3 linked regions of the Callithrix jacchus genome follow. The protein of the gene in region 1 purifies or fractionates together with the protein of each later gene. This does not show direct contact. Links are inferred from orthologs where the notes say so. Each region holds a gene or a part of one and is shown in the gene's direction. Other genes may lie near its edges.

What was found.
Region 2: the proteins of DYRK1A (region 1) and PPP1R3F purify together in Homo sapiens (affinity purification with mass spectrometry; 3 studies listed by BioGRID and IntAct, with this or other methods). This does not show direct contact. The link is inferred for Callithrix jacchus from reciprocal best matches to the Homo sapiens genes DYRK1A and PPP1R3F.
Region 3: the proteins of DYRK1A (region 1) and LZTS3 purify together in Homo sapiens (affinity purification with mass spectrometry; 3 studies listed by BioGRID and IntAct, with this or other methods). This does not show direct contact. The link is inferred for Callithrix jacchus from reciprocal best matches to the Homo sapiens genes DYRK1A and LZTS3.

What each region holds. Positions count from the first base shown.
Region 1 is NC_133522.1:43,334,860-43,344,445, forward strand, and holds the start of DYRK1A (dual specificity tyrosine-phosphorylation-regulated kinase 1A), read left to right. Parts: upstream 1-4,795; 5' UTR 4,796-4,908; intron 4,909-9,586. UniProt on the Homo sapiens protein: Dual-specificity kinase which possesses both serine/threonine and tyrosine kinase activities. Exhibits a substrate preference for proline at position P+1 and arginine at position P-3.
Region 2 is NC_133524.1:49,819,843-49,829,328, forward strand, and holds the end of PPP1R3F (protein phosphatase 1 regulatory subunit 3F), read left to right. Parts: intron 1-1,408; coding exon 1,409-1,464; intron 1,465-1,976; coding exon 1,977-2,059; intron 2,060-5,555; coding exon 5,556-6,812; 3' UTR 6,813-7,810; downstream 7,811-9,486.
Region 3 is NC_133506.1:10,676,315-10,685,800, reverse strand, and holds the end of LZTS3 (leucine zipper putative tumor suppressor 3), read left to right. Parts: intron 1-1,949; coding exon 1,950-2,112; exon of another isoform or gene 2,113-2,174; intron 2,175-2,715; coding exon 2,716-3,192; intron 3,193-3,525; coding exon 3,526-4,389; intron 4,390-4,719; coding exon 4,720-5,418; 3' UTR 5,419-7,239; downstream 7,240-9,486. UniProt on the Homo sapiens protein: May be involved in promoting the maturation of dendritic spines, probably via regulating SIPA1L1 levels at the postsynaptic density of synapses.

The sequences.
Region 1 (9,586 bases):
CTTTTCAAGTCTTGCCAAGATGTTGCAAAATACAATTTCTTTTTTTTTTTAAGATGGGTCTCACTCTGTCGCCCAGGCTGGAGTGCAGTGGTGCCATCCCGTTTCACTGTAACCTCTGCCTCCTGGGTTCAAGCGATTCTCCTGCCTCAGCTTCTGGAGTAGCTGGGACTACAGGCACCTGCCACAACACCCAGATAATTTTTGTATTTTTATAGAGACGGGCTTTCACCACGTTGGCCAGGATGGTCTTGAACTCCTGACCTAAAGTAATCCAGCCACCTCAGCCTCCCAAAGTGCTGGGATTACAGGTGTGAGCCACCACGCCTGGCCACAAAATACAATTTCAAGAGATTCTGAAACTGTGGAATACACACTTTAATAATTTCGTATTTACTATTTAAGCTTTACTTTAATGTCACAAGAAAAGAAAATGTTCATGGCAATTCATAAAATAATATTTCATGTAAACATGTTTACATGAAAAGGAAGGCAATTAATACTGTCTTCTCTCTTTTTTTTTTTAACAGCACCATGAGAACTGAATATTAACATAAGCAACTTTGTAACCTTAAGATTCTGGGAGAGAGTCCTTGTTTGTAGGTGTCTGGTTAAAAGGAGGAAGAAGGTCAGGTGCCATGGCTGATGCCTATAATCCCAGCACTTTGGGAGGCTGAGGCAGGTGGATCACCTGAGGTCAGGAGTTTGAGATCAGCCTTGCCAACATGGAGAAACCCTGTCTCTACTAAAAGCACAAAATTAGCCGGGCGTGGTGGTGCATGCCTGTAATCCCAGTTACTTAGGAGGCTGAGGCAGGAGAATCACTTGAACCCAGGTGGCGGAGGTTGCAGTGAGCCTAGATGGCATCATTTGCAGTCCAGCCTGGGCAAAAAGACCAAAACTCCATCTCAAAAAAAAAAAAAAAAAAAAAAAAAGAAAGAAAGAGGAAGAAGGACAGTGAGAGCAAGAAAGGCTAGCCCCGCTTGGGAGATGGCTAGGAGAATGAAGACGGCTGCAGATACATTGACTGGGGTGATATCCGTGTATCAACCTAACAGCAGCCCACGGCCTTCCATTTTTGTTTTCTTTTTCTTCCTGTTTCATTTTGCAGTAAAATCTGAAAAGAAATCAATTAAAAAAAACAAAAACAAAAATAAAATAACCCAAAACACCTCTCTCTGCCTTCCCAAATAAACATCAGGTAGATATACACAAGTAGGGCACAAATACACAACAAACATATTTTTAAAGTCACAAATAAAAATAAGAGAGCATGGTAGGGTGTAGGAAAACTATCATCACATACTACGTTTAGGAGTGCAAATTGGTCGAATCGCTTCTGAGGAATATTTTGGTAACATGAATCAAAAGCTTTTTAAGAACGCGTATTTTTATCTGAAGGAAATAATTGGACAGGTGTATACAATGGATGTAGGCCGTGTTTATGCAATGTTATATGTCATAACAACAAAAAAGAAAGACTTCCTTAAAAAATAGAGGAACAGTTAAATTACGGCCTATTCAACTGATGGAACACTAGTAGCTGTTAAAATGATGATCTAAATTTCAGTCGATTAACATTAAAATGTGCTCATAGTATAATTGGAAGTAAAAATGGCACGAAACATATCTTCCATGTTGTATGTGGGTGAGTGTGCTCATGTCTCCCTAAGAAAGTCTGGAAGGACATATGCTAACATGAAAATACCAATATGTTTCCTTTTTCTGGGTGATATCTATGAGTAATCCTTACCTCTTTATTGTTTTCCACATTGTAAAATTGTCTGTAATGACCATACATGACTGTTATAGTTTGTTTTTGGACCTCAGGTGCAGAGAATTAAGAATTAACTTCTTGGCCAGGCAAGGTGGCTCACACCTGTAATCGCAGCACTTTGGGAGGCTGAGGTGGGCAGATCACTTGAGGTCAGGAGTTTGAGACCAGCCTGACCCACATGGTGAAACTTCGTCTCTACTAAAAAATACAAAAATTAGCCAGGTATGGTGGCAGGCACCTGCAGTCCCAGCTACTCAGGAGGCTGAGGCAGGAGAATTGCTTGATCCTGGGAGGCAGAGGTTGCAGTGAGCCGAGATCAAGCCCCCGCACTCCAGCCTGGGTGACAAGAGTGAGACTCTGTCTTAAAATACAAACAAACAATAAAGCTTGTACAAGGTGGGGAGACAAACCCCACCTGGGTAAAGTGAAGACCTTTACCCAGAAGTCTGTAAGAACACAGGGGTGTCACATGCCAGGCCACGCCACTGTCCAGGGACGAACTGCAAATTGTTCACCTTCTCACTTGATGTCAGGGGCAGCGATAAGAATACTGGTTAATTTGTGCGTTTGTCGTTGGAATATTTATTTGGGTTATAACTCTCAGTGAGATTACAACTACTGGACTTTTAGTCTTAGAATAGTGCATCACCAAGAGTGGCCACTAACGGATGTGACGCCAACCAGAAGAAACCACCATCTTGGCATCTGTGTGTTCGTTTCCTTCAGTGCCACTACAAAGTACCACCAACTTGGTGGCTTAAACAACAGAAGTGTAGTTCTGGAGGTCAGAAATCCAAAATCAAAGTGTCAGCAGGGTTTGTTCCCTCTGATGGCTGTGAGACAGAACCTGTTCCATGCTTCTTTGCCAGCTTCTGGTGGCCTTGGGTGCGCCTTGGTTTGCAGAAGGCCACCTTTCCCTGGTGTCTTCACATGGTTTTCTCTATGTACATGTTTGTCTTGGTCCAAACAAACTGCTTTTTATAAGAACAGCAGTCATTTTGGATTAGGGTTCACTCTAGAGACCCAACTCGATGATCTCTGTAGAGACTCTACCACCACATAATCTTGAATCATCTTGGTGTGGTGGAAAGAACACGGGCTTTGCAATCATACCCGAGTTTGAATCCTGGCTTCACCACTTACTGGTGAGCAGTAACTGCCTTGAGAAAGTCATGTTATTCTTCAGGACTTGTTTTCTCATCCACATAATGGGGATGCCATGTTGCTGTGAAGATGAGAGATACTCTAGAACGCGCTGGATAAGTGGAGGCTGTCACTACCTGTGAGCAGAGGGCCTTTGCTTTTCAAGGTGAACAGTCTATGAATAAATACATCTGTAAGCTACTCTAATGGAGAGATTCTTAGACGACAAGGATTTCATCTGTGAACCACGTCAGTTGGCATCTGTACCGGAGTCCTTCCTGCCTACATGTGATCACTTGTTTGGAGCCAGATGTAATTTACAGGTTACTTTTAGGTGAAGCCTGTATAAAACCATTTTACAGCATTCCAACCTGAATATGACATTCGTTGACCAATGTGTGCCATACTGGGAGCCGGGGGGTGGGGGGGGGAGGGAGGGGAAGGGTGCAGCCTTCTAGATATGATGACCAGCAATGACTTCTATTCCCACACGTTTATAATCTCAATTCTGCCTCACTCCGATAATCTTCTAGGTTGATCTGAACTGAAGACAAGGACATATATCTTGAGACACTATCATACAAGTTACTTCCATGACCGGTGATAAAAATTCGACTCAAATTTAACTTAGTATTAAAGGTTGCAAATACGTGCTGCGTTAGAAGCGAAACGTTGGTGAATGGGGTGGGGGACAGGAAGGAGAGACCCACCAGCAGAGAGGAAGGAGTTAGTTGTATAGGTGGAAGTTTGAGCTTGGGAGGAACCAGGTAGCGACCTCTCCTCTGAATAAGGGGCGCTCTGGGCCACTTCCTCTTTCTTCAGAACAATTAAGTTGACCGTGGACTTTAATCACATTAGCAGGACAATTTTGAAACAATAATCCGAAAGAACTTTTGCCAGTGACTGCAGCGTTTTGGTATCATGGAGATCAGACCGAAGCAAGCTATTTGCCTGATTACTTTTTGACCAATTTATTTTTGATTTAGTCAGGCTTCTTTCCAAGTCTGTGCTGATCCGAATGGTTACCTTAGTATATCAATGTCCTAGTAACCGTAGCAAGGACATTTTGTTGGAAGTCATTTAAAGGGGGTGTCTTTGAGTCATGTAGCATAGACAGTGGCATCTACTGAGTTTTTTACACTTAATATTGTTCATAAGATTTTATCTGTTGCTACCATATTTGTGAAGTTTATAAAAAATGGGCTATGAACACTATCACAAGGTGGCAAAATCAAGCTTAGAAATCAATCGATTAGTGACTGCTGTAAAATAGTATATACACACACACATAGTTTTTAGTTATACATTTATTAAATACCATTACATTACAAAACACAATTTTTAGCTGGTGGCTCTCTACTGATTACATAGCAGCCAGCACAGCATACTTGGGTTTTCAAGCCTCGGGAGCTCACCCAGCAATACGTAGCCAGGCAGAAGGGGTAGACAGAATAAAAATCAGCGAAAGCTAGGATATGAAGAGTTTTGATGGTTAAGGACAAGCGGGCAAATTAAGACTCGAAACCGAGAAGGTGTATGGAAAAGAAAACCACGGAAGTGGACAAGGACACAGTAACAGCACAAGGGGATTCATCTAAGGGGCATTCCGATGGAGCAGGCAGGCTGCACCCAGAAAGGTGGGGAGGGGTTGGAAGCAGATGGGCAGACACCAGCGAGCGTGCACAGCCTGAAAAAGTTTTCATGATGGCTCCAGCCTAATTTCCCAACGCTGGTCTCCGGCGCCACAAAACCCGAGCAGTCCGACCGGAGCCGGGTGCCAGCCGCAGGGCCGCCGTGGCTGGCGCAACGTCCGGAATTCCTGCGATGTCTGGGGCGCGGCGGCGGCGGCTCCTCCCCGCCCCCACCGCGGCCTCCGCCGGCTTTTTCCGGCGAGGGGACCCGCGAGCCCTTCGAAGAACCGGCTCCACGCGCGGACAGCCGCGGCCGGCGCGCTCCCCCGGGAGCGAGGCGAGCGCCGTGCCCGGACCGCGGTGAGAGCCCTCCAGGCACTGGCGAGCGGGGTGGGCTTCCCGGGTCCCCACCCAAAGGCCGCGGCTTCCCGACCCCTCCCCCGCCCGGGGCCGCCCGTCCCCCCCGCCCTGCACCGGCACAGGCGGGGCTGCGGGCGCCGGCGCGGAAGCGCGGAGCGCTGGGGCTGCGGAGGCGGCGGCGCGGGAGGCCGCGCGCGCTCCCCGGGCCGCAGTCGGCGCGGGCGCGGCGGACGCGGGGCGGGGCGAGGCGGCCGGCGCTCGCGCACAGGCCGGGCCGCCGCCTCGCCCCCCTGCCTCTGCCCCTTCCCTCCCTCGGCCCAGCCGTCCTCCTCCTTTCCCCTCCCCCGGGCGAATCACGCGCCCTCCTCTGACACTCGTAGCGGGCCCGAGCTCCGAATTTATCCTTCACGTGACCTGAGGGGGGTTGGGTGGTTGGCTGGGGACGGAGGGGGAGACGGAAAGGAGGGAACGGAATCTGCCGTTACCCGAGCAACAGGCCCCGCCTGCCGGCTCGGGGCCGGGGGGCGGGAGAAGGACGTCAGCACGTCAGCCGGGGTTTTGCGTTTTGATTGACAGTTGCTATAGCGACCGGGTCGGTCCGTCGCCATTTTGTTGGTTGGTTTTTTTTTAAACCCTTTCGCTTCCCGCCCGAATAATAATAAAAAGCCCCATTGGAGTGAGGCGGGGGTGGCGGCGGCAATCGCGGCGGGGGTATCCGGGGAGACTGCTGCCGTCGCTGCTGCTGATCGTGGCCCAGGTCGGGCTCAGGGAGCGGACACCCCGAGAGGGGGGTGCGGGCGCCGCCGCCGCCGCTTCTGCTGCTGCTGTTCCTGCTGCTGCTGTTGGTGCCGCTGCCGCCGCCGGCGAGCGGGCGGGACCGGTGTGAGTGCGAGTGTGTGTGCGAGGGAGCGTGTGCGAGAGCGAGTGTGCGCGCGGGTGTGCGGGTGTGTGCGAGTGTCTGTCTGTCTGTGCGGGGACTCGGGGGCGGGCGGTTCGGGCTCTCCTGGCGGAGGAGCCGCCGCCGCCGCCCGGGCCCCGGCGCTTCTCGCTGCGCAGGTTCGGAGCGCGCGCCATTTTGTGAGATTTACAAAATCCTCTTCGGGAAGAAGCCGCCTGCAGCAGCCGCCGTTCGGCGCCCGGCCTCGTCGCCGCCGCCCTCCACGCCGGGCCGGGCCGCGCGGCCCCGCCGCCGGGACTCGGGGCCCGGGGACTGCGGTATTTGCCGGGGAGGGGGCTGTCGCCTCCCCGGCCCCGGGCGCCGTTGGAACCGCGAGCCGAGGAGAGACTGAGCAGGCTGCGGCGCGGCCAGAAGCCGGAGCGCCGGGGGCGGAGAGAGGCGGCCGGGGCGGCGCTGGCTGCGGAGGCCGCGGCGGGAGCGGGAGCGCGGCGCGGGAGCCCGAGGCTGAGACTCACCGGAGGAAGCGGCGCGAGCGCCCCGCCATCGTCCCGGTGAGTGTCCGGCCCGGCCGCGGCCCCGCCCGGCCCGGCGCGCGGCTCCTCCGGCGGCCCGCAGCCGGGTCCGCGCCGAGGCCGGCCGGGCGGAGGGAGGGACCTGCCATTTTAGGAGGAGGCGCCGCGGGCCCGGGGCTGGCTGCCGAGGGAGGGAGCCCCAGGCCCGGTCCCGGAGGAGCGGCGGGCGAGAGCGGAGGGAAAGTTGCGGAGGGTGGGAGCGGGGGCCGCGGCCTCCGGGGAGCCGGGGCTTGGGGGGCCGCAGACAGCGCCAGACCTTCTCTGGCCGCCCCAGCGAAGGGGTGGAGGTTGTCTTCCTCCTCCTCCTCCTCTTCCTCCTCATCCTCTTCCCCCAGCTCCTCCCTCGTCCCTCCTCTCGGTCCCCACCAGTGTGGGAACCGCCGGGGTGCTTCGCAAGGACAATGCACGGGTTAAGAAAATGGGGCCGGCTGCTGGGTGGGCGAGGACAGCGGGGCCGGGCCGGGCCGGGCCGGGCGCCGGCGAAGGTCGGGAGCCGCTGCCTCGGCGGCCCTGGGGGTCCGCGCCGCAGCGAGGGGCACTCGCTGGCCTCCGAAGTTGGGCGGGGAGCGCGAGTGTCCCCGGCGGCTCGGGGTGGAGGAGGGATGACCTGCCCTGCAGCCGGGGGAGTTGGTGGCTGAGGAGAGGTGAATTAGGATGGATACCTGTGCATCACCACAAAACTTCACGAGTCTATTTATAGGCACAAACCCACTCTCGCTTCGGAGCCACCAAAGCTGCTGAGTAGCTCGGCACTTGGCGAAAGGCTCCTCCCTAATCTGAAATAGTTAAAAATGGTAAAATTAGTGAGTCAGTGACTCCGGCTTTTTGCTTGTGCCTTTCGCCCAACCCTAGGTGACACGAATCCTGTAATCTAGGCGCAGCGCATGAATGCCATTACCATTTGGTTCTTGAATTCCACCCAAATTGTCAGAAAATACACCTTAGAACATTGTTTTCACACCCAGTTGAAGATTGGGACGAAGAGTGCCAGATGCTGTTGTCAGGGTTTTCAGTGGATTGACGAGCTTGCCCAACCAGTAGGAACTGTTCCCATTTTACAGATGAGGAGACTAAGCCTAGAGAAGGGCACTGACTGGTCTAAGGTCATACAGCTGGGAATCCAGGAGCCAGGAAGCTGTAGCCAGTCTGGACTTGTAAACCACTAGGGTGTAACTCATTATTAGAAATACTGGCAAATTTTGAAGTGATTCGTGTGTAATGACTCAGGATTGTAACCTAGAGATTGTATCCCCTACGGTTTTTATCATGGAAAAGTAAGGTAATGGTAGTGAGTCCTCTCACTGAAACTTTTCAGTCCTTTTCTCTCCCCCAAAAAACAATGCAGTCAATTTTTGAAAGAAAGGAATTAAAAGTATTATTCCTTGGTGTGTTTTGTACTTCACACTTAATTTTGATGATAGTCATTTTCTGAGTATTGATGAATCATAAAGTTTCGTGTCAAGTTATGTTTAGTTATTTTATTCTGTGAATGCTTAAGGGTTCTTCTGTGACCCCTTTATACTTTGTGTCCAAAATGTTAATGAATATTAACACTTTGATTCTGGGGTGTTTTAGTAATTCAGTGGAATTGCCTTTAGCTTTGTTTTCTTAAATTTCTTATATTTCTTAAATTTCTTATATGTTGATGAGTTACTTTAGGAGATTATTGTTTTCAAGTAGATTTTTAAAAACGTGAGGCTAGAACTAAAGTTTCATGTGCTGAGGTTTTAAACTGCAGAAGATTTTTTCAAAGCAACTTGTTATGAACAAAGCTTACTTGATTATAGTTTTTTTTTCTTTACATGTACTTGAGGTATCCCAGTGCAGGATTTTCCCTGGCATAGCAGTGGTGTTTATGGTAGCTGTCCAAATTTATTTAGACTTAAAACCATGCCAGAAAGTTAAGGATTCCTGTCAATGTCTACACACAGTTCTCTTGTAAGACTAGGTGTAAAAAGTTTATTTTTACCTCGAGAGGCAGACGTTCAGAGATTATTATAGGAGGAAGAGCCTTCCCTTCTGTTTGCACCATGAGGGCACACTCGTTTTTACCTGGTGGGTGTTGAAAAAGGGTTTGAAGGAATAGACTTGAATGAATGGGATGATTGGTAGGGGTGGGAAATGGACTAAGTGATCTAGTGAGATCCGTTATTGTTAGGAATTTGAGATCTAAGTATAAGATCATCTCTTAAACCTTTTAAAGATATTTTGGTGAGACCCGTTAGAAACTTAACACATTATTTTGTACAAGGGATTTAAAAACTAGTAAGTCCAGGTTTTTAGAGGCACTAACGATAACCGAAAACGTTCCATGTTAGTGCAATGTCTTGTTAGGGAATGTGGATAGTAAAAACGACCATTTGTTAAAAAATTTTTTTCCCCTCTAAAATATTGTCTGATGTTTGCTCCTTAGTGTTATTTACGAGTTACTGTTAGGGAGAGTGAATGTTTATGACTTAAAGATATGGGGGTGGAGAGGCCTAGGTAACTGCAACAATGTATTTAAGCAATTTACCTTGGGTTTTTATAGTGCTATGAATATTTATCTGCCAGAGGAAACTTCAGGATACCTTGTTACAAACATAAGAGGGTAACCTTTGGCTTGCGTTTTGTTTTGTAACTATACAAATAAAGTGTTAATTTGGATTCAGTCTTGGTTTTCACTTGAAAACCATTTTTTTTTAAAGAAATAGCTTAGAAATTTAGACTGCCCTGAGGTGTTTTTGTGTGCCTGTTTATGGTTGACAAGTATCTAGTTATGAGAAGAAAATGTGGACAGAATTAACTATTATAGGCGAGAAGGGAATTGCCTTATATATGCCATTAAACACAGACTGGTAGAAGATTGGACTTCACTTGTGACTTTCTTGGTACTTGTGATTAGGTGTCTGCCAGTTTGTCTTTGCTTTGGCCTTAGCTTTTCTTGTATTTCAGAGGCCTTTCACGTTTCCTATACATACATAGGAAACAGTTTCACTGCCCCCCAGAAGAAGCTTATCTCAACCCAGCAAAACCCAAAAACTTCCAGAAAGTCTTTATCAAGAACTTAGTGCTTCATCTCCAAAGTTGTGTTAGTCTTATTTCGTAGTGTTCATAAGCAGTTATTTAAGCTGAACTAAGAAGCTTTACTCTCTGTTGAGTGTTTTGGTGATTTTACCTCCATTTATGTGTGTCTATTTTAGATTTAGGAGTAAAGATATTACTTGAA
Region 2 (9,486 bases), on another chromosome or scaffold:
TTTGCTGTGTGTTAGGCCCTAATTTCTGGCTGTCCATCCTCATTCCTCTTGACTGCCCTGTGCTTAGGGCATGTCCTGACTCCCCGCAGCTCTGTTTTATGTTTTGTGAGTGAGGAGGTGAAGTGACATGCCAGGCTGATGTGGGGACAGGGGAAGGCTAGCATAGGGACCCAGGCCTCTCTGACCTCCCTCCCAGTCTCCATTTGCATTCCTTCCTCTGCCCCACAGTCTTGTCCACCTGCCCTTTCTTAGAAAAGTGTTTTTTTTTTTTTTTTTTTTGGAGAGAGAGTGTTGCTCTGTCGCCCAGGCTAGAGTGCAGTGGTGTGATCTCAGCTCACTGTAATCTCTGCCTCCCAGGTTCAAGCAATTATCCTGCCTCAGCCTCCAAAGTAGGTGGGATTACAGGTGCTCACCACCACGCCTGGCTAATTTTTGTATTTTTAGTAGAGATAGAGTTTCGCCATGTTGGCCAGGCTGGTCTCGAACTCCTGACCTCAGGTGATCCACCCGCCTCAGGCTCCCAAAGTGCTGGGATTACAGGCATGAGCCACTGCACCTGGCCTTTGTTTTTTTTTTTTTTGAGACCGAGTTTTGCTCTTGTCCCCCAGGCTGGCGTGCAATGGCATGGTCTCGGCTCACTGCAACCTCTGCCTCCCAGGTTCAAATGATTCTCCTGCCTTAGCCTCCCAAGTAATTGGGACTACTGGCATGCAGCGCCATGCCCAGCTAATTATTTGTATTTTTGGTAGAGACAGGGTTTCCTCATGTTGCCCAGGCTGGTCTTGAACTCCTAACCTCAAGTGATCTGCCCGCCTTGGCCTCGGATTACAGATGTGAGCCACCGCGTCCGGCCAAGAAGACGGATTCTTCTATCTTTTCTCTTTCCACAGCCAGGAGTATATCCTAAAGAAATGATACAAATGTCGATAAAATTATGCCCAATGCTGTTTGCTGGTTTGCTTTGCGACCTCTAAATGAAAGAACTTAGCTGCTCAGTAGGAAGGAAATGGTATGATACAAGTATTAAGCAGCCACTGAAATGTTTGCGAAAGTATATAGTGATGTTTCTTACTGTTAAATGGACAAAGCTAGCTGTGAAATTATGTCTGCAGAATCTAAATAATTTCATAGAATATCTGGAAGATAATTTTCCAAAATGGTAATAGTAGTTGTCTCTGGCTGATGTGTGATTGTTTTTCTTGCTTCTTTATACTTTCCTGTATTTTGTGAATTTTCTGTAATGAGGGTGTAGGACTTCTAGGATGAGGCGATAAAAAAAGGCAGCAGAAGAGAAAACAGCAGCTGTCAGGTGAAGGTGGGCTAGCACGGAGGCTCAGAAGGTACCAGTGGGTGGCAGAAGTGACCACTTAGGGTATTATCTCCATGTACTCTCTCCTCTGCCCCACAGGCCTGCTGAGGAGGAACTGAAGACGAAGAACATGGATGATAACACCCCTGCCATGGGTAAGCAGTTGGCCAGCTTTCGGAGTTTTAGCTTGTATTTACCATGTCTTTCCTCCTGTTTTTCTTTCTATAAAAATGAAAAAGGCTGGGTTCAGTGGCTTATGCCTGTAATCCAGCACTTTGGGAGGCCAAGGCAGGAGGACTGCTTGAGGCCAGGAGTTTGAGACCAGCCTGGGCAACATAGTGAGACCTCATCTCTACAAAAGAAGAAAAAAATAGACAGGCTTACTGGCATGCATTTGTAGTCCCTGCTACTTGGGAGGCTGAGGTGGGAGGATCATTTGAGCCCAGGAGGTTGATGCTGTAGTGAGCCATGATTGTGCCACTGCACCCCAGCCTGGGACACAGCGAGACCCTATTGAAAAAAAAATGAAAGGGCACTCTCTGCCTTATATTGTCATGGAAAGCTTCAGAGCAAAACTGCCAGTTGGCTAGGATAGCAGATTTTCTTAACAAACCCATACCTACTTATATGCCTGTCTTGTCTAATGCTGCTCTTCTCTTCCCTCTAGCAGAGCACCCTGATGTTGAGGAGTCAGTGGGTCCCCTGGTGGCCCCCACCCCTCTCCGTCCATGGCCCCAGATGACACTTCAGGTAAGTGGGTGCTTGCAGCCTTGGAGCGGACAGCCCAATAGGAGGCTCATAGTGTGACTATTGCTGGGCTGGGTGGTGGGGTCCACTAGCTGTGGGTCCTCCCTGGGTTGGAGGGAGGGCACAAAACTCAGAACCTGATGGGGGAGGGGGAGAATGTAGTTACTCACCTGGGCTTGTAGAAATGTCATTTGTTAATTTAGCAAATATTTATGGAGTGCTTGCTCTGTGCTAATCATTGTTACAGACATGGAAAAATTCTCTTCAAGGGGGCTTATGTGTTAGTAGGGTGAGTCGTGATAAAATAATAGTTAGAATGTGTGGCACTTTAGGTGATGATAAGTGCTAAGGAAAAATATAAAGGGATAGGGGGTGGGTGAGACTGTGTGTGTGTGTGTGTGTGTTGTGGGGGGTTGGAACTTTAGATTGGGTGGTCTGGGAAGGCTTTAGTGATCTGAGCAAAGATCTGAGGAAGGTGAGAGAGTGAGCCATGTGGATAATGTGGATAACTAAGGGAAGAGCATCCCAGGTGAGTGTGAAGTTCTTGAGGTGAGGCCATGACTGGCGTGTGTGAAGGACAGTGTAGAAGCCAGTGTGGCGGGGGCAGAACAGGGAAGGGGGAGAGTGGTATGGGGTGAGGGCAGAGAGGTGGCTGAGGACAGATCAGGCGGCGCCTCATAGGCCATGGTAAGGACTTTGACTTTGACTCCAAGTGAGGGGGAGCCGCAAGAGTGTTGTAGGCAGAGGAGGGACTTGATCTGATTTAGGATTTAACAGGCTCCCTCTGGCTGCTGCATGGAAAATAGACTGTGGAGGGTGGAAACAGGCAAGCAGTGAGGGGGAGGCCACTGCAGGGTCCAGGCAAGCGTGATGGTAGGTAGGGGAGGTGGAGACATTTTGGAGGGGTGTGTGTGTGTGTGTGTGTGTGTGTGTGTGTGAACTTTTTAATTATAAAAGTTTTCAAATGTATATAAAAGTAAAATACTATAATGAACCTACATATACTATCCCCCAGCTTTAGTGAATATCAAAACTTACTTAAAATTCTTATTTTATCTATACCCCGTCTCCTCCCATTCCCTCTGGAATTATTTTGGAAAACACCCAGACATCATCCCATCCATAAATACTTCTGTTTTTATCTCAGATAATTTTTTTTTTTTTCTTTTTGAGACAGAGTCTTTCCCTGTCACTCAGGCTGGAGTGCAGTGGCGCGATCTCGGCTCACTGCAACCTCTGCCTCCTGGGTTCAAGTGAGCACATCTGGCTAATTTTTGTATTTTTAGTAGAGATAGGATCTGCCGCTTTGGCCTCCCAAAGTGCTGGGATTACAGGTGTGAGCCATCAAGCCCGGCCACAAAATTAAGAATTCTTAAAAATCCCCACAATACTATCATCACACCTCAGAAAATAAATGGTAATTCCTTAGTGTCATCAAGTATTTGGTTAGTGTTCAGGTTTCCTTCTCTCATAAATGTTTTAGGATCCAAACAAGGTTGACACGTTGGATTTGATTGATATGTCTCTTTAGATTTTTAAAATCTCCCCCGCTTTCTTTATTTGCAATTTGTTGGTTAAAGAAACTTTGCTTGTCCTGTAGAATTTTTCAGTCTGGGTCTGGCTGATTACATCTAGGTGGAAATATGTTTCTTACTCCATTTTTATTAATGTATTAATTCTATTAATGTAATCTTATTTAATTTATCAAATTATTAATGTTATTAAATGAATATTTAATCTTTTAACTAGAATTAACTCTATTTAGTTCTATTATTCCCACTTCCTTTATTAGCTAGAATTTGTCTCTAAAGAAAAACTTTCCCATATCAGCTATTTGGCTATCTTGAGATACAGTTTTTACAGAAACATCAGTGTAAATATTTAATTTTTTCCATTTTATTTATCAGTTTTCAGAGGAAGTACTACTCCAAAGGTGACCAGTGAACGGATTTTTGGTTTTGTGTCATTATAAATTCTATGAATTCTAAACATAGTTGATGAGTTTTAGTCCATTGCACTTATTTGTTTGTTTTTTTGATGCTTAAATTAAACTATCCCTGGCTAGTAGGAGCTTATTGAGATGGGTTTCTCTGTCCTTTTGACAATATGTTCTAGGCTCATCCTGTACTCTTCCTGTTCCCAGCCTGGAAACAGCCATTTCTTTATTTCTTTTTTGTTTGTTTGAGACAGAGTCTTGCTCTGTTGGCCAGGCTGGAATGCAGTGTTGTGATCTTGGTTCACTGCAACCTCTGCCTCCGGGGTTCAAGCTATTCTCCTGTCTCAGTCTCTTAAGTAGCTGGGGTTACAGGCACATGCCACCACACTTGTCTGATTTTGTATTTTTAGTAGAGATAGGGTTTTGCCATGTTGGCTAGGCTGGTCTTGAACTCCTTATCTGCCTGGCGATTCACCCGCCTCAGCCTTTCAGAGTGCTGGGATTTCGGGAGTGAGCCACAGTGCTTGGCCAGAAACAGTCATTTCTCTAAGGAGCACTGTTTCCTTTCAGTAGAGAGTGGCATTCAGAGGCCAAGGTTTGAGGGCTTGGCATGCTTGCTGCTACTAGATTGGTCATTGTTTCTAGGCCCTTTCAAAAGATGGAGCTAGGAAATAATTTTTTTTAAAAGAAAAGATGATGCATCATGGATTCATAGGTAATCCTGGCTATGTTTTGGGTGTTTTTCTGCATTTTATTTTTACTTTTAAAATTTTTTTTATTTATAATTTTTGAGGGGACATAGTAGTTATATATATTTATGGAGATGTTTTGATATAGGCATGCAGTGCATAATAATCACATCATGGAGAATGAGGTACGCATCTCCTCAAGCATTTACCCTTTGTGTTACAAACAACCCACTTATACTCCTTTTTTATTGAGACAGTCTCTCTCTGTCACTCAGGGTGGAGTGCAGTGGCACAGTCTCAGGTCACTGCAACCTCTGCCTCCTGGGTTCAAGTGATTCTCCTGCCTCAGCCTCCTGAGTAGCTGGGATTACAGATGTATACCACTTTGCCCAGCTAATTTTTGTATTTTTGGTAGAGACGGGGTTTCACCATGTTGACCAGGCTAGTCTCAATCCTGGCCTCATGTGATCCAACCACCTTGGCCTCCCAAAGTGCTTGGATTAAAGGTGTGAGCCACCGCGCCTGGCCACTTATACTTTCAGTTATTTTAACTGGCTCTATTTTGAAGGTAAACCAGCAGTATTTAGTGATGATCATTCACCAGATATTCACACCCACCAAATTCCTCAGCTTTATAATCTGCAAGAAGCACCGTTTCACTGCATCCAATTGTGTTATTTTACCATAAATGAAAGAGTCTTTGGAGTCTAGATAGTGATGGAGGGCGCTTTAGGGCATTTTTATGTAGAAACCCCTGCGGGGCTAGCTGTGGGCTGTCATACTTCTTACTGTCTCTGCTTGTTCCATCGCCTCCTTTATTTCATTCCCTTGCTTTTTCTCCCCCCCATCTCCCCCACCCTGGCCATGGCTCCAGGTTTCTGACGTTCCGATGACTGGCAACCCTCCGGAAGAAGGTGACATCCCCAGAAGCAGTCCACCTGTGGCTTTTACAGAGGTCCTCCAGGCACCGGCCATCAGGATTCCCCCCTCCTCCCCTCTCTGTGGCCTGGGTGGCTCCCCCAGAGACCAGGCCTCAGGGCCCGATTCGAGCGAAGGGGCCACTGGGCCTTTCCTGGAGCCCAGCCAGCAGCAGGCAGAGGCCACGTGGGGAGTATTGAGCGAGAATGGAGGGGGGCTGGAGGCTGTGAGTGGGTCGGAGGAGCTGCTTGGTGAGGACACAATCGACCAGGAGCTGGAGCAGCTCTACCTGTCTCACCTGAGCCGCCTACGGGCTGCTGTGGCTGCAGGTGGGGTAGAGGGTGTTGGGGAGGGCTCCACAGATGGGGGGATGTCCCCCAGCCATCCCCTGGGCATACTGACAGACCGTGACCTGATCTTGAAGTGGCCCAGCCCTGAGCGGGCCCTGAACAGCGCCCTGGCTGAGGAGATCACGCTGCACTATGCCCGGCTGGGGCGTGGCGTGGAGCTCATCAAGGACACCGAAGACCCTGATGATGAGGGGGAGGGTGAAGAGGGGCTCTCTGTCACACCCTCCAGCCCAGAAGGGGACAGCCCCAAGGAATCGCCTCCGGAAATCCTCTCCGGGGCCCGTTCTGTGGTAGCCACTATGGGAGATGTGTGGCTCCCATGGGTAGAGGGCTCGGGATGTGACAGCCCTGTGGTTCTGAGTACAGAGTGTCAGTTCACTGGGGATCCTGAGAAAGGGATGGGTAAGGACAACAGCTCTTTGCACATGAATAGGGTGATAGCTGGGGTGACTGAGTCCCTGGGGGAGTCCGGGACAGAAGCCCAGATGGAGGTAACCAGTGAGTGGGCAGGAAGCTTGGATCCCATATCTGGCAAGGAGCCAGCTGCTCCCATCCTTTTGCAGGGGCAAAATCCCACCCTCCTTGGTCCCTTTGAGGCTGAAGTCTGTCTCTCTAGCATGGCCAGGCCTCATGTGAGCTCCCAGGATGAAAAGGATGCAGACCTAAGCCTTGAACCCCCAAAGAGTTCTCCTGCCATAGCAGCCCCTGCAGAATGTGTGTGTGTACTGCCGCCTCAGCTCCGGGGACCCTTGACCCAGACTCTGGGGGTCCTGGCTGGGCTAGTGGTGGTCCCTGTGGCTCTTAACAGTGGTGTGTCCCTCCTGGTGCTTGCGCTGTGCCTCTCTCTGGCTTGGTTCTCGTAGGCTCTGCTTGTGGAATCAGCAGAGGCTTGAGATGGGATACATGGCCTATGCAGCAAGGGGACCTGGGTCCTTTACTTCTGAGAATGCTCAACTGAAAGAGAGGCCTTCCCATCCCCAAGCTCTTTAGTCAACACAGGGATCCCTGTGGTGACACCAGTGGAGACGAGGGGATGGGTGGATGGTGTGAGTGAGGGGAACTTTTAGAGTGGAACTGGGCATGTCGTCCCCCTACCCCCCAAGCCTGTATTTATTTTTGTATAATTCTCTGGATGAGGGAGAGTGGTCGTGAGCTGGTCTTGGGGCACAATTACCCAGAGATATATTTATTAACAGCCAACCTGTGCAACCTGCTGGAGCTTTATTTTTAATTTAATTTATATAGAGTACTTATTATTATATGCTACAATAGAGCTCTATGAGAAACATGTCTTGTGGTGTAGTGTTCTCCTGTTTGGGCATGAGTGTGCAGGGTGGTCACTTTCTGCGGGAGGATCACAGTAGAGAGTTGGGTGTGGGACATAGTCACCTGCTGCTGCTTCAACACGTCTGTCCTTGAAGATCTGTGTCTGTTCATCTCGTGGTCCTAATCCATATGGTTCTTTGTCTTTTCCATGTTCTGCCTATGGGGCCCTGCAGTATCTATTTGGATGGTGGTGGTAGGAGCCAGGGAGGAAGAGCAGCAGCCACAAGAGGGTTTGGTGTCAGTCACATGGTTGCAGTGGTGGCTGTGGTCTGCTGTGGATGTGGGGACATCAGTTGTGAATCAGCCGCAAGGTTTTGAGGTTACTGAAAAAATAGCCTTTGACACCAGCAGGGGGACCCCTTAGCCCCCGAGATAGGGAAGGCCTCAGAAAGGAAAGAGGAGTTAAGGCACTGTGAAACGTGTAGCACAGTTGCTGTCAGCAGACATCACATTTCTACTAAAAACAGGAAGCCCAGAAACTTTGAAGGAAAGAGATACACTGATTGCATGCGAATAAACTGCTCAACAAAATAAATTTATTTATTTACTTCCCTTTACAGAAAAACTTATTGAAAGAAATATTTACATGAGCTTTCTTCAGTTTTTCTCCAATGCCTTTCTAAAATAGCCCCAATCAGATTTTTTTTACCCAACCATTTCAGCAAAACTGCTGAGGATAATCACATCATTATCGCCATGGTTAAGTCTCAGACCTCATGTTACTTGGACTATTGGCAGCATTTGACATAGTTGTTGATCATCTCTACCTTGCAACCCTTTCTTCACTTGGTTTCCAAGACACCACACTCCCTTCATTTCCCTTCTTCCTCACTGGCCACTGTGCAAAGCTGTCATTTTGTCTTGAAACTGTTTTGTGGGTTCAGTGCAAATCCAATCAGGATTCCAGTAGATTTTTGCGTGTGTATAGATCATGACACATTAATTCTTAAATTTATGTAGAAGTGGCAAGACTAGCCAGGACACTGATACTTATTGTATGGTGTATCAATTCAGATGGTATGATATTTTTGCAAGAATAGACAAATAGACCAATAAAAGACTAGTGATCTCAGAAACAGACCCACTTATGTGTACACACAGAACTGGTGACCAAGGAGTGTTTTGGAACAGTGGGGGAGCGATTGGACTTTCAATAAATAGAACAATTGGTTACCCACATTGAAAAATACGAACTTGGATCCCTCCCTTACAACACAAATAAAAATAATTCTAGGTGGATTTAAAGCCTAAATGTGAAGGGCAAAACCAAAGAGCTTTAGGAATACAGTAAGGCAAGGCCAGGCACCGTGGTTCAATCCTGTTATCTCAGCACTTTGGGAGGCCGAGGTGGGTGGATCACCTGAGGTCAGGAGTTCAAGACCAGCCCTATCTGTACTAAAAATACAAAAATTAGCTGGGCATAGTGGTGGTGGCTGCCTGTAGTCCCAGCTACTCAGAGGCTGAAGCAGGACAATCACTGGAACCCGGGGGGCAGAGGTGCAGTGAGCTGAGATGGCGCCCCGGCCTTCCAGCCTGGGTGACAGAGGGAGACTCCATCTCAAAAAAAAAAGTACAATAAGGCAGTACATTCATATACTCATGGTAGTAAAACTTTTCTTTGTTATGACAAAGAAACAACCATAAATGAAAATTATAAAACATCCAGTGACCTTAAAATTAGGACTGTCCATTGATCAAAAAACACTATAAAGAGAATGAAAACGTTATGTAGTCGGTTGGTATGAATAAAAGCAAAACAAGAGTGTAGAGTGAAAACAAGTGACAAATTGGGAGAAGAAAATGAAATCACATATAACTGATGAAGGGCTCAAACCTGGGATATTAAAAACTACAAATAAAAACTAGCTGTGCCGAAAAGCATCTAAATAGTGTATTCACAGAACGGAATATTCACACAATGAGAATGGAAGATCCATACTGCATGAAAGCATAGGATGAATCACAAAAAGCCAAACAAAAGCTTTTACACTGTGTGACCCATTTATGCAAAGTTCACAGGCAGAACTCATGAATTACCACCTAAGTGGCGACATTGTAAAGAAAAGTGAAGGGCTGATTATCAGAGTCAGGATAGTGTTCACCTCTGGCAGAGGGAGGGATGTGGTTGGGAAGGGGCCTGGAGGACTGCTGGGCTGTCAATAATGGTTCACTGCTTAACCTGGGAGACTGTTTATGGATATGCAATTTATT
Region 3 (9,486 bases), on another chromosome or scaffold:
CCTTGAAAACAGATGATCTCAATCTCTCTCCATCTAGTGCTTTCTTTTTTTTTTTTTTCGCCCAGATTGGAGTGCAATGGCGCAATCACAGCTCACTGCAACCTCCGCCTCCAGGGTTCAAGGGATTCTTGTGTCTCAGCCTCCTAAGTATCTGGGATTACAGGAGTGCACACCATGCCCAGCTAATTTTTGTATTTTTAGTAGAAACAGGGTTTCACCAAGTTGCCCAGGCTGTTTTTGAACTCTTGGGCCTCAAGTTATCTGCTCACTTTGGCCTCCGAAAATGCTGGGCTTACAGGCATGAGCTATCTCACCTGGCTTCCATCTAGTGCTTGAGAAATATCTTCCTCTGTTGTTTCCCAAAACACCTCTTTTCCCCAAGCAGTCTCCCCTATGTTAAAAGTGTCACACACCACCGTGGTCTCCAGTCCAGAGTCCTCCCTTGTCCCTACCGCCTGACCTCATCTGTATGAAATTTTGCCCATACTTCTTTCCCAAACCCTGCCCAGGCTTTCCTACTGGTTTGAAGCTTGAGGCCTTTCAGCTTTCATCCTCCCAATCCCCAGCTGCTGCCTACATTGCACTCAGAGATGGCAAGGGAAAGAGGGCATATTTAGGGTAGGGGGGGTTGCAGGGCTGAGGCATAGTGGGCTGGAGTATGCTGGGGAGTGGAGGCAGAGCGGGGACTAGAGTGAGGCCAGAGAAGCACCCAAGGCACCAAGGGAAGGAGACTGTCACCCTCAGGGCTGTGTGCTGGCTGATTGCACCCTTCACTTGTGCCCTCTGTGGCTCTCTGGCCTCACCCTAGTCCTGGCCTTTGCTTATGGGGACAGACGGGCCCAAAGGAGGATGGTGGCAAAGTGCTCTTCTCCACACTTGCGGGGACAGACGCTGAGAATGGAATTCTACAGAGATAGTGCTCAGGCTTGGTAGTGAACTTTCCAGCAACCTAGGACTCTCATTCCTGGTGTGGGGGCCAGAAGACTCCTGAAGGACAATAGCTTTGTCAGGTTCCCTTGGTCTGGGGCAAGGACACAGCATTAGAACTGGGCAGCTAGGTAGAAGACAGTCTGTGGGGCCACAGGGTGCCACGTGGACCCCTTAACCTTGAAGGGAAGGAGGGCTCCCTGCCTGGTTTATGGAGGGAGTAGCAGGAAAAGGTCTGAAGGGCATCCCCTCCCATTTCCCACACACTTATTTGAGAGTCTAATCCGAGGCAGACGCTGCCTGGTGCCCCTGCCCGGCTTCATTATGCAGATCTCTGGGGCAGGTGTTCCCAGGTGCAAACCTGAGACAAAGGAACGAGGAAGCAGGGCCTACCTGAGCACAAGTAACCCAAAGCCTGGCTCCCCCTGCGCCTGTGGGCCGGCCTTGGTGGTGCGGGACCCGCACCCACAAGAAGGGCTCAGAGGGCTTCACAGTAAACTGAGCAGGGTCAAGGTCCACAGGGGGCGGGAGAGGGAGTAATCCAGGAAGTCTTCCTGGTGGCAGTGAATTCTTAGCGGGTTTGGCATGCGCCGGATCCTTGGGGGCACTGCAGGGTGCGCGACCCCGCCTCTCCCCCCGCCCACCTGTGAGAAACGCAGGCCCCGAGGGAGACTCCGTCAACGCCAGCAGCTGGCGCCACTGCCTCCTCTGCCCCGGCCTCAGCCAGCCCTGAGACCTCTGCGGAGGACTGATCCCGGGAAGGGGGCCCTCTCTTGTCAGGGCCCTGGTGCGGCCGAGCTGGGAAGACCTCCGGGAGGGCGGTCCTGCCACCTGCTGCTGCCGCTGCCCCCGTCCGTCCGTGGGGGACGGGGCGTACTCTTAGCGGCGCCCACCCGCGACCCAGATGCGCGCCGCCCAACCACCCTCCCCAAGTCCCCCATTTCCTCCAGCGCCCGTCGCCTCGGGGCGCCTGGCACGCAGCAGCACCGCAAGGTAGGTCCTTCATTTCTCCCATTTCGCAGAGGAGAAAACCGCAGTCCAGGATGGCTCAGTCCTCCCCTCCAAAGTCGCGCAGCTGGTTTGGGCCGAGCCCTGACTGCGAGAGTGAGGCACATGGCCCCTGCAGACCGGGCCTCGGAGGGTCCCAGGCTTGAGGATCCGTCGGCCCCTCACCCCCTTGGAAAGGCAAGGAGAGAAGCCTGCGCTGGTAGTGAGCTTCCACTTCTGCCCTGACTGCCACTCCTTAGGTTAGGGGGCTGTGAAGGACCCCCACCCTCAATTTTTGGATAGGGGTATCTTTCTCTCCCTCCCCTAACTTTTGAGGTGGTTCCCTGTTGGATTCAGGCACTGTTCTCCCTTTCCAACCCCATTTCTCCAGCCCATGAGGTTGGGATATTAAGGGCCCAGACCCAGGATAGATAATCCCAAAATTCTGGGGTTACAGCAAAGAGTTGAGAAGAGGACCACTGAGCGTGGGAAGCTCATGGGCATGGTGGGGCTAAGGCAGGAGTTTACGAATGGAATGCAGAGCTGAGCTGAGCTGTGCTGGGGGCTTCGTGCATGGAGCCCTGGGGGTTGGGCTTAATCAGGTGGGCAATAGGCAGCCCCATTTCCAAGTTCCCTCTTTTATCCCAGCCCTGTTCCTTCACCTTGGATGCCTGGGAGCCCTTTTACCCATTGTAGGGAAGGGGACACTGAGGGGCAGAGGGGTGCTGGGTTGACTTGGCTGGGGTGGTGGGAGTAGGAGTAGGATCTGACCTATTTCTACCTTCCCACCTGTGCCCACAGTGCCCTCCTGGCTTAGTCATGGCGAAGCTGGAGACACTGCCTGTGCGAGCTGACCCAGGGCGGGATCCTCTCTTGGCCTTTGCCCCACGGCCCTCTGAGCTTGGACCCCCGGATCCCCGCCTGGCCATGGGCAGCGTGGGCAGTGGGGTGGCCCATGCCCAGGAGTTTGCCATGAAGAGCGTGGGTACCCGTACAGGGGGTGGGGGCAGCCAGGGCAGTTTCCCTGGCCCCCGAGGCAGCAGCAGTGGGGCCAGCAGGGAGAGGCCAGGCCGCTACCCCTCAGAGGACAAGGCTCTCGCCAACTCCCTCTACCTCAATGGCGAGCTGCGGGGCAGTGACCACACCGATGTCTGTGGCAACGTAGTTGGCAGCAGTGGTGGCAGCAGCAGCAGTGGTGGCAGCGACAAAGCCCCACCGCAGTATCGTGAGCCCGGCCACCCACCTAAGCTCCTGGCCACCTCTGGCAAGCTAGACCAGGTCAGTCCCAGGGCCTGAGACCCTCACAGCCTTTTTCTGGGGGTGGGAGGCAACGCAGAGAGGAAGGCAAAGGGGTCCTTCTTGGAGGTTGGGTTGTGGGGGCAGGATGGAGGCTGGGCTGAGGAGTCATGGACTAGGGCCCTGGGGCCAAGTCTGTTGGGTGGATCCAGGACAGAGATCTGGCTTCAGGGAGCCAAGAGGTGGAACCCCACTTGGGGGACCTCAGGATGGAGATCCAGTAGGGGTGGGAGGTGGGGCTGGCCAAGTCTCTGCCAGAGGGAAAAGCCTGGGCCAAGGTCAAGGCCTCATCCTGACACCCTGCCTTTCCTGCAGTGCTCAGAGCCACTAGTCCGGCCATCAGCCTTCAAGCCTGTCGTACCCAAGAATTTCCACTCCATGCAGAACTTGTGCCCCCCGCAGACCAATGGGACTCCTGAGGGACGACAGGGCCCTGGTGGCCTCAAAGGCGGACTGGACAAGTGTCGGACCATGACTCCAGCGGGTGGGAGTGGGAGCGGCCTCTCAGACTCAGGCCGGAACTCCCTCACCAGCCTGCCCACCTACAGCTCCAGCTATAGCCAGCACCTGGCGCCCCTCAGTGCCTCCACCAGCCACATCAACCGCATTGGCACTGCCAGCTATGGTAGTGGCAGTGGTGGCAGCAGTGGTGGGGGGTCGGGCTACCAGGACCTGGGGACCTCTGATAGTGGACGGGCCTCCAGCAAGAGCGGGTCGTCATCATCCATGGGGCGGCCAGGCCACCTGGGCTCTGGGGAGGGTGGAGGTGGAGGCCTGCCATTTGCGGCCTGCTCACCGCCCTCGCCCAGTGCACTCATCCAGGAGCTGGAGGAGCGGCTGTGGGAGAAGGAGCAGGAGGTGGCAGCTCTGCGGCGCAGCCTGGAGCAGAGCGAGGCGGCAGTGGCCCAGGTGCTGGAGGAGCGGCAGAAGGCGTGGGAGCGGGAGCTGGCCGAGCTGCGGCAGGGCTGCAGCGGGAAGCTACAGCAGGTGGCCCGCCGTGCCCAGCGTGCCCAGCAGGGCCTACAGCTGCAGGTGTTGCGGCTGCAGCAGGACAAGAAGCAGCTGCAGGAGGAGGCGGCCCGGCTGATGCGGCAGCGGGAAGAGCTGGAGGACAAGGTGGCCGCCTGCCAGAAGGAGCAGGCCGACTTCCTGCCCCGGATGGAGGAAACTAAGTGGGAGGTGCGGGCTGGAGATCTGGGCCTCCCTCTCTGCCTCCCTTCTGCCCCTCTGGGGAACCCCAGAGCAGTTGCCCCTCACTATCATAACAGGCGATGAAAGGAGCAGGGGGGACAAAAAGCAATTGGGAGTGTCTGTGAGGACCGGAGGCCATCCCCGGGCTGGGTGAGACATGTTCATCCTGAGTCCAGGCAGGGAATGAGGCATTGCTGCTGATGAGGGCTGAGCCTGCTCCGGGAATCTTGGTGTCCCTGGCTCCAGATCTGGTGGCTGGGTTGGGGTGAGCAGAGCTCTGCCTTGACCCGGCTTTTCCTCTCACCTGTTCCTGCCCAGGTGTGCCAGAAGGCTGGCGAGATCTCCCTCCTGAAGCAGCAGCTGAAGGACTCGCAGGCGGATGTGTCGCAGAAATTGAGTGAGATCGTGGGGCTGCGCTCGCAGCTGCGGGAGGGCCGGGCCTCGCTGCGGGAGAAGGAGGAGCAGCTGCTCAGCCTGCGGGACTCCTTCAGCAGCAAGCAGGCCAGCCTGGAGCTGGGCGAGGGAGAGCTGCCTGCCGCCTGCATCAAGCCGGCGCTGACCCCCGTGGACCCGGCTGAGCCACAGGATGCTCTGGCCACCTGCGAAAGCGACGAGGCTAAGATGCGCCGTCAGGCCGGGGTGGCCGCCGCCGCCTCCTTAGTTTCCGTGGACGGGGAGGCGGAGGCCGGCGGGGAGAGTGGGACGCGGGCCCTGCGGCGGGAGGTGGGGCGGCTGCAAGCCGAGCTGGCGGCCGAGCGGCGGGCCCGGGAGCGCCAGGGTGCCAGCTTCGCAGAGGAACGCCGCGTGTGGCTGGAGGAGAAGGAGAAGGTGATCGAATACCAGAAGCAGCTGCAGCTGAGCTACGTAGAGATGTACCAGCGCAACCAGCAGCTGGAGCGCCGGCTGCGGGAGCGTGGGGCCGCAGGGGGTGCGAGCACGCCCACTCCCCAACATGGCGAGGAGAAGAAGGCATGGACCCCCTCCCGCCTCGAGCGCATTGAATCTACAGAAATCTGATCGACCTGGGCACTCGGCCTTATGACAAATGCCCTGTCAAAAGGCCAGAGTCCCCAGTGTCCCCTCCCCTCCACCTCTTTTCCCCGTAGACCCCATATCCCCAGACCAAAGAGGTTCTCTAAGCAGCTGTGACCAGGTTCCTCCCTCCTCACTTGCTCTCCCAGCTCCAGCACTGCCCCTGTGGCATCCCACTCGGACCCTCCTAAAAGAAGGGAATAGGGGGAGGGCAGGGCAAGTGAGGGTGATTCTAGGTGGTGGGGTAGTCATGCTCCCTTTCTTGGCACCCCCTTGATGGAGATAGAGGCAGCAGGCCTGCAGTGATGAGGTGCCCCAGTCCTTCTGGGGTTCTGGGCTGCTACTGTTGGCCCCCCGGTGTCTAGTGATGCTCACTGTGTTCACCTCCTAGGCCAAAGGAGCCTGAAGGGGCCTGCACAGGGTTTGCTGAAACTGACAGACCCTGGGCTCCTGACCTCTCTCCTCCCTGTAGTCCTCTCCTTCCCTGGGTAGATTGGCAGGACAAGTGGGAGCAGATGGCCTGCCTGTGGTTGAGAGGGCTACCTGCCCAGCCCCTCCCCCACCAAGGTCTCTTGGGCTCAGGCCTCAGTGCCTGGCCTGGTCGTGAGTGTGTGTCCCTATGTGTGTGTTGCGGGAGGGGAGGGCTGGGGCTGGAAGTCCAGCACCCAGGGAAGATCTGCCCTCCTGTTCTTGGGAAGGGTTGCCTGACGGCTTCTCGACTCTACCCTCACCCTTCTGGCCAGGATCCCGCAGGGCAACAGCCCCATCTGCTTGACTGACCCACACCCAGGGCCACTGTCCGGCTCTAATACAGCTATTAAGTGCCACCTGCCTCTCAGGCACTCTCCCCCCCCGGTTTCTGAGGTCAGACGAGTGTCTGCGATGTCTTCCCGCGCTATATTCCCCAGCCTCTTTCTGCTTTCATGCTCAGCATATCATCTTCCTAGGCAGCCTCCCCCAGAGTCTCACCTTTTCTTCCAGTAGAAAATTCTGCTTGACCTTTGGTGCACTGCCCACTTCCCAGCTCCACTGGCCCAAGTCTGAGCCGCAGGCCCTTGTTTCAGGGGCAGGGGGAGGGTTAGACGTGATTGCCCTTGAAGAACAAGGCTGACCTGAGAGGTTCCTGGCACCCTGAGGTGGCTCAGCATCTGCCCAGGGTAGGCCTGGCATGAGGGGTTAGGTCAGCCAATGTCAGTTCCTTCTCTTGGGGCCCTCTCAGAGTCCATCTCCCCAAGACAGGAAGGGAAAAGCAAATTTCTAATTCACCAGCAATAAAAATTGGAGGAGGCTTGGCCCTCAGCCCTTATATTTCTCTTTTTTCACTCTCTCTTTCTCCCACCCCCAAGACTGAGTTTGGGGGGGCAGGGTGGAGAGAGCTGGCAACTACTGTGAGCAAGTCCCCCAGCCCCTGACCAGCCTCCTCCCATGACTGGTGACTGTTTAATGAGCTGTGCATCCCCCACAAAAACATGAGTGCCCCTCTGTGTGGCCTCTAACCCTCTGCACAGCCCTTCTAGGTGGTCCTCACCAGTTCTCAGAGCTGGGTGGGAGGCCACCCTGGCAACCACTGCCCATTCCATTTACCCCTCACTGCACCTGCCCTAGAACCTGGGCCTAGGCCACAGGGGCAGGGAGAAGAGAAGGCATTAGTAAGAAAAAAAAATATGAACAGACTCAGCTTTGGGACGTCCAACCACAAAAGAAATTATATACAAATATATATAAATATATATCTCTACCATATGTGATGGAAAGACTTTGTTTTCCTTTCCCAAAGAAATAAAATGGAGAAAGCCTCTTGAGTGGTATTCTTTGGCCTGCTGGTGTCTTTGCAGGTGTGGGAGGTGAGGCCTGGGTAGGGGACAGGGGGCAAAGCTGGAGTAAACAGATTCCCCAGAGGAAGCATGAGACGAGAAGTGCTCACCGGCCCATGCCAGGAGGTTGGCCCAAAGCCCAAGCTCTGCCATGTTGCTCGGGAAGAGTCGTGGTTCAACGTTTTTGCCCAGTGGGTCTTTCTCTTCACCTTAGACTGTTGTCAAAGGGATTTCAAGCTGGTTCTATCTCAGAATCTGGACACTAAGCTGAGGAACCAGAAACCGGGTGACATAGGACAGCCAGATGCAGCCTGCAGTTGCCTAAGCCACCCTATAGCAACTGGCAGATTTGCAGGCCGAACGTATAGACATGAAGACTGAGAACAGGTTTGCAGTTAATGGTGAAGCCCCAAAGGCAAAGGGACCCAAGCGTGCTGCACAGCAGAGAGCTTCCCTTTACAACACTTCTGTCATCCTTTCAAAGCACCACAATCAAGAACACATTCTGCTATAAGTAACATGTAGGACCTCAAAGAATGGTTTATTTTTCCCCAACCTGACAAGAAATTGGGAAGTGGGTGTCATGGTTGTTTGATCATTGGGGATCTAGATTTCCATCCTTCCACTGTCCCATCCTTAGCATATTGTTTCCTCCTTACCACAAGGTGGCTGCCACAGCTCAGTGAAGGCCTTGAGGCTCCCCCACTTTATCACGAAAGTGGCCTGCTTTCCCAGGACCCTTTCCTTTAAGTCCTGTTGGCCAGAACTGAGTCACATGCTCCTCTCACTTCAAGGGAGAATGGGAAATGGAGTATTACAAAGAGAAACAGGATTGTGCCTGGGAACAGACATGGTTCATTCCTTCAGGGTAGGCTCTCTGCTTTCTCTGGGTTCTACTGGCAAGGACAGAGTCATAGCAATGAACAGTGTTTGCCCTGGTCTGGCCTGAGTGATAGAACCCTCCCCAAGCAGTAGTGTCTGTGGTCTGGGGCTCCAGATACTCAAACAGTGCTGTTTCCATAGCTCGGGAGTTGGGATGCCAGGCTTGCAGCTCCTTGCAGGGACATGTTCTCCCTACATTGATTTTGGCTTCCTGAGGGAAGCCAAAATGGTGCCCTGGAGGGAAAATGATTTTGCAGCTCGCCCTCACAACCCTTAGGATGAGTGGACTGGTAGAGCCAAGGCATTGACAAGATATGAAAACCCTGAATAGCAGATCTCAAGTGCTCTCAGGAATGGCAGCCTTGGGCCAGGCCTTTCTGATAGGTAGAGGTTTAGTAGAGTCTTTTTCTTGTCTAGGTACCCACACACAGGTGTCAGTATATGTACCCAGTAGGACCCAGCCTTCCTTTTTTGTTTTTGAGGCGGAGTTTCGCTCTTATTGCCCAGACTGGAGTGCAATGGCAGGATCTTGGCTCACCGCAACCTCTGCCTCCCGGGTTCAAGCAATTCTCCTGCCTCAGCCTCCCAAGTAGCTGGGATTATAGGCATGCAGCACCATGCCCAGCTAATTTTGTATTTTTAGTAGATACAGGGTTTCTCCATGTTTGTCAGGCTGGTCAGGAACTCCCGACCTCAGGTGATCCGCCCGCCTCGGCCCCCCAAAGAGCTGGGATTACAGGTGTGAGCCACCGCACCCAGCTACCTAGCCCTCCTTCTTAGGGAGGTGGAGGATTGCCCTGGCTCATGCTCCATAGCTCTGGCCTCCCTAAGTTCCAGCTCAACATCCATTTCTCTTAGCAGGGTCATCTATCCATCATGTCACTAGCTCTTTTCCTGAGAGCACTTTACAGATACATCTCTATTATAAATGCATATTTTTTTTAAAGATGAAGTCTCACTGTCACCCGGGGTGAAGTGCAGTGGTGCAATCTCAGCTCACTGCAATCTCCACCTCCTGTCAAGTGATTCTCCTGCCTCAGCCTCCTGAGTAGCTGGGGTTACAGGTGCCTGCCACCACACCCAGCTAATTTTTTTGGTATTTTTAGTAGAGACGAGGTTTCACCACATTGGCCAGGCTGGTCTGGAACACCTGGGATTACAGGTATGAGCCACCTCGCCTGGCCAATGCATTGCTAAAATTAGCCAGGTGTCATGGTGCACTCATGATTGCACCATTACACTCCAAACTGGGCAATGGAGCAAGACTCCGTCTCAAAATAAATGAATAAATAAAAATAAATACAGGGATTGTTTTTCTCACTGTACAGGCTTCGAGAATTTATGTGAGCTGGGTGCA